3 linked regions of the Nothobranchius furzeri genome follow. The protein of the gene in region 3 binds, or shares a complex with, the protein of the main gene of each other region. Links are inferred from orthologs where the notes say so. Each region holds a gene or a part of one and is shown on either strand. Other genes may lie near its edges. The genes, in order: ciao2a, ciao1 and mms19.

Region 1 (3,656 bases), on a different chromosome or scaffold from region 3:
ATTAGAGGATTTACGGTATATGTATATACATATACGGTATGCTTGAGTCAAATACAGGCCCGGGCCTGTATTAGAGGATTTACGGTATATGTATATACATATACGGTGAATATGTGTATATATATATGTATATGTATGTATATATGTATATATGTATATACATATATATACACATATTCATATATATATATATATATATATATATATATACATATATATATATATATATATATATATATATATATATATACATATATATATATATCACGATAAGAGTCGTCTCAAGGCACTTCACATAATAAGCATTCCAATTCAGGTCAGTTCTTTAAGCCTATGAGAAATAATGTTTCGTATATAAGGAACCCAGCAAATTGCATCAAGTCACTGACTAGTGTCAGTGACTATACAGCAATCCTCATACTAAGCAAACATAAAGCGACAGTGGAGAGGAAAACTATATATATACATGTATATATATATATATATATATATATATATATATATATATATATATATATATATATATATATATATATATATATATATATACAGTTGTGGTCAGAAGTTTACATACACTTGTAAAAAATATAATATAATGGCTCTACTGAGTGTCCCGTTATTTCTAAAACTGATTTTTCTCTGATGGAGTGATTGGAACAGATACTTCTTTGTCACAAAAAACATTCATGATGTTTGGTTCTTTAATGTCTTTATTATGGGTTAACAGAGAAAAGTGATCACATTTGCTGGGTCACAAATATACATACAGCAACATGAACTAGCAATTTTGGTGACAGAAACGTGTCAGTGAACTGAGCTTCATAGCATGGCCTCTTAACTTCTTGTGAGTGATTATGAGTGACTACAGCTGGTGACTTCTCTTAGGCCAGGTAAATAGGGCTCATTGGATACAAACGCCCACAAACGCTACAATGGGAAATTCAAAGGAGCTCAGCATGGATCTGAAAAAGCGAATTATTGACTTGAACAAGTCAGGAAAGTCACTTGGGGCCATTTCAAAGCAGCTGCAGGTCCCAAGAGCAACAGTGCAAACAATTGTTTGTAAGTATAAGGTGCATGGCACTGTTTCATCACTGCCAAGATCAGGAAGAAAACGCAAGCTATCACCTGCTGCTGAGAGAAAATTGGTCAGGAGGGTAAAGAGTGAACCAAGAATCACCAAAAAGCAGATCTGCCAAGAATTAGAAGCTGCTGGAACACAGGTGTCATTGTCCACAGTCAAACGTGTTTTGCATCTCCATGGACTGAGAGGCTGCCGTGCAAGAAGGAAGCCCTTGCTCCAAAAGCGGCACCTTAAGGCTCGACTGAAGTTTGCTGCTGATCACATGGACAAAGGTAAGACCTTCTGGAGGAAAGTTCTGTGGTCAGACGAAACAAAAATCGAGCTTTTTGGCCACAATGCCCAGCAATATGTTTGGAGGAGAAAAGGTGAGGCCTTTAACCCCAAGAACACAATGCCTACAGTCAAGCATGGTGGTGGGAATATTATGCTGTGGGGCTGTTTTGCTGCCAATGGAACTGGTGCTTTACAGAGAGTAAATGGGATAATGAAGAAGGAGGATTACCATCACATTCTTCAACATAACCTAAAATCATCAGCACGAAGGTTGGGTCTTGGGCGCAGTTGGGTGTTCCAACAGGACAATGACCCCAAACACACATCAAAAGTGGTAAAGGAATGGCTAAATCAGGCTAGAATAAGGGTTTTAGAATGGCCTTCCCAAAGTCCTGACTTAAACCCCATTGAAAACATGTGGACAGTGCTGAAGAAACAAGTCCATGTCAGAAAGCCATCAAATTTAACTGAACTTCACCAATTCTGTCAAGAGGAGTGGTCAAAGATTCAACCAGAAGCTTGCCAGAAGCTTGTGGATGGCTACCAAAAGCGCCTAATTGAAGTGAAAATGGCTAAGAGACATGTAACCAAATATTAGCACTGCTGTATGTATATTTGTGACCCAGCAAATGTGATCACTTTTCTCTGTTAACCCATAATAAAGACATTAAAGAACCAAACTTCATGAATGTTTTTTGTGACAAAGAAGTATCTGTTCCAATCACTCTATCAGAGAAAAATCAGAGTTTTAGAAATAACGGGACACTCAGTAGAGCCATTATATTATATTTTTTACAAGTGTATGTAAACTTCTGACCACAACTGTATGTATATGTGTATATATATATGTATATACATATACATACATATTTATATATGTAGATATGTATATATATATATACATATATATAAATGTATATACATATACACACATATATATATAAATGTACATATAAATGTACATATATATGTAGATATGTATATATATATATATATTATATGTTATATATAAAACAAAACAATAAATTCATGACTCCGCATTGGTTTCAAACACATGTATTAGAGTTTTGCTGCTACCACCACTTCCCCTCTCAGGCTGCCCCACAGCCACGCCCCCTCCCGCCTTGCTGGCTCCTTGAAAACAACTTTGTTTTTTAACTCTGCTAGCCCAGCTGATTCAGCAGTTTGTTTGTGTTACTGATTTTTTGGTGCTTTTTCACTAGTCTCATGTTCTGAGTGGTGAAAATGATTAATTTCTCCAGTTAATAAACAGATCAACGATAAGGAGCGGGTGGCAGCCGCCATGGAAAACCCCAACCTGAGAGAGATTGTGGAGCAGTGTGTCACTGAACCTGATGACTGAAGGGCCCAATGCTACATCAATAACTTTTTTAAGTGCGTGTGCATGAGTGAACACATGGAGGAGGTTGGATGCTGGAATCAAGTCCAGCCTTTAAAGACAGCAGCACCAGTTGTTGCTGGTGAACAGCCTGGTGTTCCAGAAGAAGGTGAATAAAGGAAGAAGAGAACACACCTCCTGCTCTACTTTTATCTCTCAACTTTCTCTCCATCATTCCTGCTGTTCACCATTCATGTTTAATCAGAACAGAATAAAAATGGCTGTTTTTCATTGCATTGACTCCTATTAGATCTTTTGTAATTCCTCAGGTGATTACCTCTAATTTGATTTCAGAGTCTGGATGTTTAGGATGGGGTTTTATAAACAGAAATGAAATGCAAATAAACTCAGAATAAAATAATCAGGTTTGAATATAATCCTGTCTCCTGTGTATTTGAATCAGAGTAAGTGTTTCAGCAGTGCTTCCTACAGATAAAACGTTATTTTGCACACATCTTAGGTTTATTTATTAAGCACTTTTAAGTGCTTCTCAGACAAGAACAATAAAACTGATACAATGATCTTAGAAATAACTATCTCACACACACCCATTAACATCACTCTTAACCATATAAAACAATATAACATTAATGTCAACATATATTTTCTCTGAGTGCACACACAAACACTGATTATACCTCCACAGTAATATTTCATACAGGTCACACGAGCTGTAATGAGCTTTTAACTATCAAGTACAAAATGATACCAGCCAGGTTTTAGTTTGTGTACCACTCTTCAAAAAGCTGATTTGGATTGGCTGCATGTGTCACTGTAGCATCACTTGATCTCTACATTTATGGGATGCAGTGTGTTGATGGATAAAATAATGGGCAGATGAGATGTGTGTCCCATCTCATACAGACCCCAAATAAAAGAAGGTGGTATGAGACTGACTCC
Region 2 (4,017 bases), on a different chromosome or scaffold from region 3:
CCTGTTTTCTTCTGTACTTCCTCCACAGGTGAAGCTGGACTTTGTTGCACCTGCAGTGGGCGTTCACCACTACACCCTGTACTTCATGAGTGATGCGTACATGGGTTGTGACCAGGAGTACAAGTTCAGTGTGGATGTGAAGGAGGCCGACAGCGAGGGAGAAAGTGACTCAGACTAAGTTTTACTGAATACTGTGTTGTCTCCATTTGAGAGGGAATCAATGGGTGTGTTGTAGATATTCAACCTGATTTGTTTCTTTGAATTTAAACTTCTCACTTTTGCCCAAAGTATGTCAGTTTTTTTTAGTGACCCGATTGATGAAACAGTCCAAAATTGGTGTGCAGGATCTGTTTTCCGTATTAAAAATGAAATGCATGTTTTGGATTCAGCTGGATCCACTGACAATACTGCTTTAAATATGGGAAGCATAATTTTGTACTTTTCTTGTCAGGTTTGCTTTTTAAAATAAAAGATGCAACAATTTGGTTTCAGATTATGTCTAAAGTTACATTGCAGATGTAAAATGGTTTTCCCTAGATTAGTAAACATGTTTTTAAGAATCTATTGTCTGGCATGTTCTTTTCTTTTTATTAAAATGAAACCACACAGTCTTGTGTTTTTGTATTTATTCATAAACATGTTTGATTAAGCCATTTTTAAAAAGTGTACAAGATGAGCTGCAGCGGTTTTCCGATCACAAAAATTAAAACGAGATTAATCAAGCCATGAAATAACAGATGTGGTGCCTTAAAGATAAAGTTCCCAGTATGAGATCTAAAACCAAAAGCACTTCGGTGCATTTGTCACTGAATCAGTCTTCTTTGAACCTCCAAATGGCAAGTTCTCCATTGTCGCTGCAGGAGGCAAGAATTCCAGCTTCTTTCGGGTTCCAGGAAGCACAGTTAACGTCCTGGTTGTGAGCTTTGGTTACCTGAGCAACCAGCGAGAATACAGGTTCTTCTGGATTAGAGGTCACGTCCTCTCTGAAAACTCGAACTGCGTCGTCACCGCAGGCAGTTGCCAGGGCGCCAGTCAGCGGACACCTGAACAAATGGTGTTTAAGTCAGTTTGAAGGTAATTCATTCAGATCACTGATAGAAGTTCAGTCTTACCAGGACACATCATACACTGTTCGTCCATGATACCCAGACAGAGTGCAAACACACTTCCAGGACGTGTCACCTTTCAACATACAGAGCAGGTAAAAAAAAGGATTTGTTTGTAAATAAATGGCTTCGGTGTTACTGTTCATAACTACTGACCACTCTCAGAGGGATATTCTTTCCAAATCTTCACAGTGCGATCATCGCTGCAGGACGCCATCCTCTGTCCAGTTGCATCAAAGCACAAACTCCAGACGGTGGAGGTGTGTCCTTCCAAAGTAGCGCGACATTCCCAGTCATCGTCTTCTTCCTTGTAAATACAAATGTTGTTGTCGTAGCTGGCCGAAGCCAGGAGCTGAGGAAACAGACAATAACCTCAAAAATGAGAATGGAGCTACAGATGGAGATAATGTCTACAGATCTGAGTCTACCTCTCGGGTCGGGTGCCACGCTACATGCTTAACATCTTGTGTGTGAGAGTTTAGAACTGTGACACACTCATACTCATCTTCTTCATCCACTGTGGGACAGAGGGAAAACACCTATTAACCAGATCTGATCAAATTGTATTTATTACATGTGTAAATAAACACAAACCTTCCCAGATCCAAACGCTTTTGTCTCGACTGCATGTGGCCAGGAGGTTCCCTGATGGAGCCCACGCCACACATTTGACCTCATTTTCATGTCCCTCCAACACTGTCAAACTCTATAAAGACATTTACAAATGTGTCAAGTTCACGGTTAAATGCTTTTTTAATCACACCACTGAACAACAGAGGTCTCATCTAACCTCAAAACCCTCGTTATTCTTCTTCCAGATGCATGTAGTTGCATCAAAGCTGGCAGAGGCCAAATAATTTCCACATGGAGACCAGGCCACTTTCCTCACGGTGCGCTGGTGTCCATCCTCCAGCACACTCTTACAAACCCAGGAGTCTCCTACGGATAGAGGGGGTCACCGAGGTCAATAGATTAATTATTTTACCAACAGATAACTAATAATCAGAGTGTGTGTGTGTGTGTGTGTGTGTGTGTGTGTAAGAGAGAGAAAGAGATGACAGGCTACCTTCGCGTCCCCAGATCCGGATGGCCTTGTCCCCGCCACACGAAGCCAGCAGAGTCCCGTTTGGGCTCCAAGCGACAAACCAACACCGAGAGTCCGGGTGTGCGCTGAGCCTGTGAAGCAGCGTGAGAGTCTCCTTCATACTGACTTAATGACTATTAAATATTTAGTTAACAGGTCTCGTCACTTTTGTCTTTTCCTTCCCAGAAAAATCCGATAAGAAACTCAAACAAAACCCATCAAAGCAGCAGAGCCACTATCACTATTAACATATTTTGAGAAGATAAGGAATTAACTTGCAATAAAGAGCAAATTAAAGAAGTTCATAGAAACATCCACAACTGACGTGCCGCCATCTTTGCTTATCGGAAGTGCACACTGTGGGCTTCCGTCTTCCTTTAAAAACAAACTTAAATATATTTTTTTTAAATAAACGGAAACAAATTCAGTTGTCGTAATAAAATATATAATTATTCATAAAAAAAGCGAGATTTATGTATAAGATTTAAAGTCTATGGTAAATGCAGAGAAGTTTTCATCGTTGTGTAGTTTTTTTAACCGGTAGGTGGGGCTAGTGATCACAGGTTCTACTGTAGCTACGACGAAACCCGGTGGAAACAGGAAGTCAATGCTTTAGAGGAAACCAGCGTAAGCTGTCTTTTGTTTTGTTTTCTGTTTGTTTTTCTGTAACTAAAACAATATATTTTTATTTATTGTTGTTGTAAAGATTGGGTTCTAGGTTGGCGTTTATATGTTTTTTTTGTATTCGTTTTAATCCTGTCATAAGAATTTATTATATTTGACGTTTACTGCGAATTAGCTAATCGGGCTAACAGTACAGCTAACAGGCCTGAAGGCCATCTGTCTTTTGTTTCCTCGTCAGCCAGATCCTGTTTTTTTATCGAGCAGCTGGTTCTCGTACGGAAGTATTGTATATCTTTCATCTAACAAGTCGCCTGGACCGCTATCATCCTTTAACACTACAGGTAAAATCAGCTGTACCGACTGACAGCTGTGTCAGGCGGCTAATCCCAGTTATAAACCTTAAGGAAAAGGACAGACAAGGGAACCAACACTTCCTACAAAAACAGAGATTTGGTAATCATGTATGCTCCGCCGGGCTCTACCGTACCTGGTGGCCGGAGAAGAAGAACTGCCACCTCCCTGCCCAAGCAGCCGGAGCGCAGCCTGGTGTCAGCGCTGCCCGGAGCTTTGTCCATCACAGCGCTGTGTACGGCTCTGGCTGAGCCGGCCTGGGTGCGTGTTCATGGGGGCGCCTGTCCCAGGCAGGAGCTGGGGGTTGCGGATGTCTTGGGTTACATTGATCCAAAGCTTCTAGATGGTGAGAACCTGCACAATTACTTTACAACCAGCAATTATCGATCATTGTTTTGACTCGTAATGGTTTTTGTTTGTTTTGACGTTTCTGTATCCTCAGATTACTGTGTGAACCCGCAGACCATCCTGCTGTTGAGGGTCATAGCTGCCTTTTGTTTCCTGGGCATCCTATGCAGTCTAACTGCTTTTCTGTTAGATGTGTTTGGACCGAAACACCCTGCCCTAAAGATCACTCGTAGATATGCATTTGCCCATATACTCACAGGTACAAACCTTTCATTTACACACAAAACATTTTGCATATTTACCTGTGCTAACAGACTTCCTTTTCCTTCTAGTGTTGCAGTGTGCCACAGTCATAGGCTTTTGCTACTGGGCCTCAGAGCTGATCTTGTCCCTTCAGCAGCAGCACAAGAAGTACCACGGTTCACTTATATATGTCACTTTTGCTATCAGCTTCTACCTGGTGGCAGGTGCGGGTGGAGCATCCATCCTCGCCACAGCTGCAAA
Region 3 (3,656 bases):
GAAAGGGTCCTACCTTTATGTTGTATCAGTGAGGTGAGAACGGTGGTAGCAGTGATCTGCAGACTGGAATTACTCTCGGAGAGAGCAGAAAACACCATGCTGCAAAGAGCAGCTCTGTACGCTGACAGCACACTCTCATCTACAAACACCAGAGATGGGTACAAGTTATGTGCATCTTTATACAGACCACTAGCCATGGACGTAATCTGGGGGGGGGGGGGGGGGGGGGGGGAGATGGGCCCCCCCCCCCCCCCCACTTTTTCCAAAGTCAAGTTTTGACCCCTGCACTTTTTACCATCCAAAAATATTATATATATATATATTATATTAAATTGACACTGGTTGAGCTCTAGGACCAAGCGGAAAACAACCGTTTGTGTTGAAGCCTGTTTCCCATTAGAGCATACTGTAGATACACTCCCCCGTGTCCCCCCACCTCTAAAGTGAAAATTACATCCATGCCACTGGTGTGAGATGGCTGAGCCTGATCATGCGATTTAAGTCCCATCAATCCCTGGAAGATGTCCATGTTTCTGAACTGATTTAAATATAAGAACAGATTTTGTTCATTTTAACACTAAAAGGTTTTTAACACGCTAAACCATTGCTTTCAAACTGGTTGCAGTGGTACTTTAGCCACAAACTTCAGCCACATCACATCAGACAGCCTTCTGCTGACCAGAACCAGCAGAACCCGTTTAATGGGTCAGGCTGGAACACTAGTGGGAGGTCTCTATCTGCCGTTATGGCAATAACAGTTTACTGTTGGCATCATGGAGGACCCTGAAAGTAAAAGTAAGAGAGCAAAAATGTCTTTGGAGCTGAAGCAAAGAGCTAAAACCAGAGTGAACTTTGGTGCAGCCTACGCTAGTCTGAGGGAGCTAAAGGAGGCTACGACATCACGGACTGATGGTGACCTGGCTTTGTTGCTAATGGACTTGTAAATCATAATATTTTTTGTCCAACAGGGTGGATCTTTTACTTTGTGGCTCACTTAGTGTTAGCTCGTTGTTGCAGCAGGGTTGACTAGTGCATCCAAAACTGATCCTCCTTTATGGGAGCGAGCAGTAACTCTTCAGTTACTTGATCAACATTATTGCTCAGATCTTTCTCCACAATTACAGCTCTATTGGAGATGCACTCTTTTTGGGTCTGTACAAATACATCGATTTGACAATAAAAAGGTGGGAGGGGTGGAAATATGCCTGAATAATAATCACACTGCAATCCTCTGACCTATAATCAAAGTGAATCACGAGGTGCTGAAAGAGTAAATCTAGTGATTACTTTGTGAAAATTCAAGAGTCTTATCAGTGTTTGTTATTTGAATGAAATAAACTCGGTTTCAACTTTAAATCAGAGGAATGATGAACTCACCGGTATCTGAAGACGTGTTTGTTTTCACTGACTTGATGAATCGTTGCACCACTTCCAACAACGTACGTCTATGAGAACACTGTTAAGAGAAGCTTATGACTCAGTAACCATGACAACAGCAAAGCTCTACACATGACTACGGATTCTCGGTCTGACCTGTGTTCTGCTGTTGTACTGCTCGATGAGAGAGGGCATGACAGCAGCTGTTATGATGTGGCTCGCCCTGTTGGAGGCGCTGCAGGCAGCCTGTAGCAGCTTGGCACTGGGCCATACCAGCTTCAGGTCGGGCTCGCACAGATGATGTTTACAGTCTGGGAAAATGTCACAAAGATGTTTGCACTGCTGTTAATTAGACGGTTTTAATGAAACCCTGCCTGTAAAAGGAGCCTTCGTTTTAAAGAACTGGTTCACCTGTTAGAACCAGATCCAGGAGGGTGATGAGGGTGTCTTCAGAATCAGAGTTCACCACTGAGCGAGACAGACAGGAAGTGAGTGCGGTGAGAGCGGTGAGGGCTGCTGACTCGATCTTCTCACTGGATGTCTGAAACACCTGCAGGCAGGAAACGGAGACGGGGCTGTACTGAGAGCACACACACCAGTGAAGAGGCTGGGTTTCACAGTAACGTCTCTATTTAGCCCCATTCCCACCTGTACCGGGTCGGCCCGGGCCGGGTAGCCCCAGTCGGCCCCAGCCTGGCCCGGTTGATTCCACACATCCTTGCCTTAAGCCCATGTGGGCTGATTCTACCCACCAATCAGAGGCTTGCTCTAATGGAAGGTGTGAATTTGCTGTCAGCAGTGGGCGTGTTGGCCCTGGTCGGCCTGAAGCAGTACCCCTCGGGAAGAGGGCCGAGAATGAGCCTTGGTTGGCCCGGGAAAATTCCAGGCCACCCAGATATGTAAACAACCTATGCTACCCGGCCCGGGCCGACCCGGTACAGGTGGGAATGGGGCTTTTGTTTCTGTTTATGAAATTTTATAATTTTATGTTTTCTGATGTCAATCTATTTCTGTTTTGAGATCATTATGATTTTATGACTTTGTTTTATGTGAAGCACACTTTGTGTTTCTATGTCTGTGATGAGTGCTATATATAAAAAAAATGTACTTACTTACTATTTATGGCACAGTCTGGTTTAGGGCTGGGCAATTTGGCCTAAAATCAACATCACCATATATCGTCACGTGCATTATGTTGAGTCACATTTTTACATGACTCAAGGTGGTACAGCATCTTAAAGGGACATTGCCAACCTACACACACCTTTTTCATTTTTTATTATCATTATTATTGTGGAAAAAACGATCATGATAAAAGTCGAAATTTTGATAATGATAAATATTGAATTTATTGCCCAGCCCCCGTCTGGTTGGATGGCAGCGTGAAAAATCATCTAAAACTCAATTTTGTGTTTACTCAGGTTGTCTTTGACACTGAAATGTGTTTGCTGATCTGAAACTTTTATGTGGGACAAAAAGGGAAAAAAAATAAATATGTGAGAGGTTAAATTATAGTTTTTGCAGCATTGAATGGGTGGAAAAAAAGGGTTGTTCACCGGGCCTTTCCACCAGACGTGTAAGCGTCACGCAACGTCAGCGAAGTGTAGTACGAAGCAATTAGCCGCTGTTATAGTGGATGGGTGTTTCCACCGGCCGCAAAGCGTCCCAGAAATGCTGTGAATACTTCAATTTTTTTTATACACTACGCTTCCAGAACATGTCAAGCTCAGCAGTTCAGATCGGGTCAGACAGGAAGTTGAACAAAAGCAGGGTAAAACATCCAGAAACTTTCAAAATAAAAGTCACTTGCAGATTTTCAGTTGATCAACTAGTAAAAGTACGTCATTACCTGTAACACCTCCAAAGCTGAGGCAAACAGGAAATAAACCACAGACCTTTTCGGATACATGCTGCCATCTATCTGAAATCTAATGTGTGGTTTTGCAATTTCCGGTCCTTCAGTGACTTTGCGGACCATTTGTGTGGAGCTCTTTTGCTGCTGTTTGCACCTGAAACACTCCCAGTAGGAAAGGTGCTCATGGCTAAAATGGTTATGCATCCATTGGAAAGCCAGGGTTAAACTAAAACGGCTCAAACTTTGTAAAACACTACAGACCTCTCTGCGCAGTGACGTCCACAGTCCCTGGAGGAATTCAGCCAAGTCTCTGTGATCATATTTTGACCCGCAAGCAGCCTGAAACAGATCAAATATAAAGAGATGACAAATCATCATAAAAGTCACATTTCATCTTACTTTAGCTTATTCTTCTCTAAGCTGC

Evidence for each region.
Region 1: mms19 (region 3) and ciao2a share a complex: the UniProt entries of both Homo sapiens proteins name them as parts of the CIA complex. The link is inferred for Nothobranchius furzeri from reciprocal best matches to the Homo sapiens genes MMS19 and CIAO2A.
Region 2: mms19 (region 3) and ciao1 share a complex: the UniProt entries of both Homo sapiens proteins name them as parts of the MMXD complex. The link is inferred for Nothobranchius furzeri from reciprocal best matches to the Homo sapiens genes MMS19 and CIAO1.

What each region holds. Positions count from the first base shown.
Region 1 is NC_091744.1:55,351,703-55,355,358, forward strand, and holds the end of ciao2a (cytosolic iron-sulfur assembly component 2A), read left to right. Parts: intron 1-2,619; coding exon 2,620-2,720; 3' UTR 2,721-3,133; downstream 3,134-3,656. UniProt on the Homo sapiens protein: Component of the cytosolic iron-sulfur protein assembly (CIA) complex, a multiprotein complex that mediates the incorporation of iron-sulfur cluster into extramitochondrial Fe/S proteins.
Region 2 is NC_091757.1:37,107,827-37,111,843, forward strand, and holds ciao1 (probable cytosolic iron-sulfur protein assembly protein ciao1), read right to left. Parts: upstream 2,549-4,017; 5' UTR 2,312-2,548; coding exon 2,173-2,311; intron 2,046-2,172; coding exon 1,897-2,045; intron 1,813-1,896; coding exon 1,701-1,812; intron 1,624-1,700; coding exon 1,535-1,623; intron 1,459-1,534; coding exon 1,263-1,458; intron 1,183-1,262; coding exon 1,113-1,182; intron 1,044-1,112; coding exon 812-1,043; 3' UTR 612-811; downstream 1-611. Other genes in the region: snrnp200 (U5 small nuclear ribonucleoprotein 200 kDa helicase), read left to right, coding at 29-178; tmem127 (transmembrane protein 127), read left to right, coding at 3,274-3,511, 3,608-3,772, 3,846-4,017. UniProt on the Homo sapiens protein: Key component of the cytosolic iron-sulfur protein assembly (CIA) complex, a multiprotein complex that mediates the incorporation of iron-sulfur cluster into extramitochondrial Fe/S proteins.
Region 3 is NC_091756.1:28,167,351-28,171,006, forward strand, and holds part of mms19 (MMS19 nucleotide excision repair protein homolog), read right to left. Parts: intron 3,572-3,656; coding exon 3,494-3,571; intron 1,928-3,493; coding exon 1,789-1,927; intron 1,689-1,788; coding exon 1,534-1,688; intron 1,457-1,533; coding exon 1,378-1,456; intron 140-1,377; coding exon 14-139; intron 1-13. UniProt on the Homo sapiens protein: Key component of the cytosolic iron-sulfur protein assembly (CIA) complex, a multiprotein complex that mediates the incorporation of iron-sulfur cluster into apoproteins specifically involved in DNA metabolism and genomic integrity.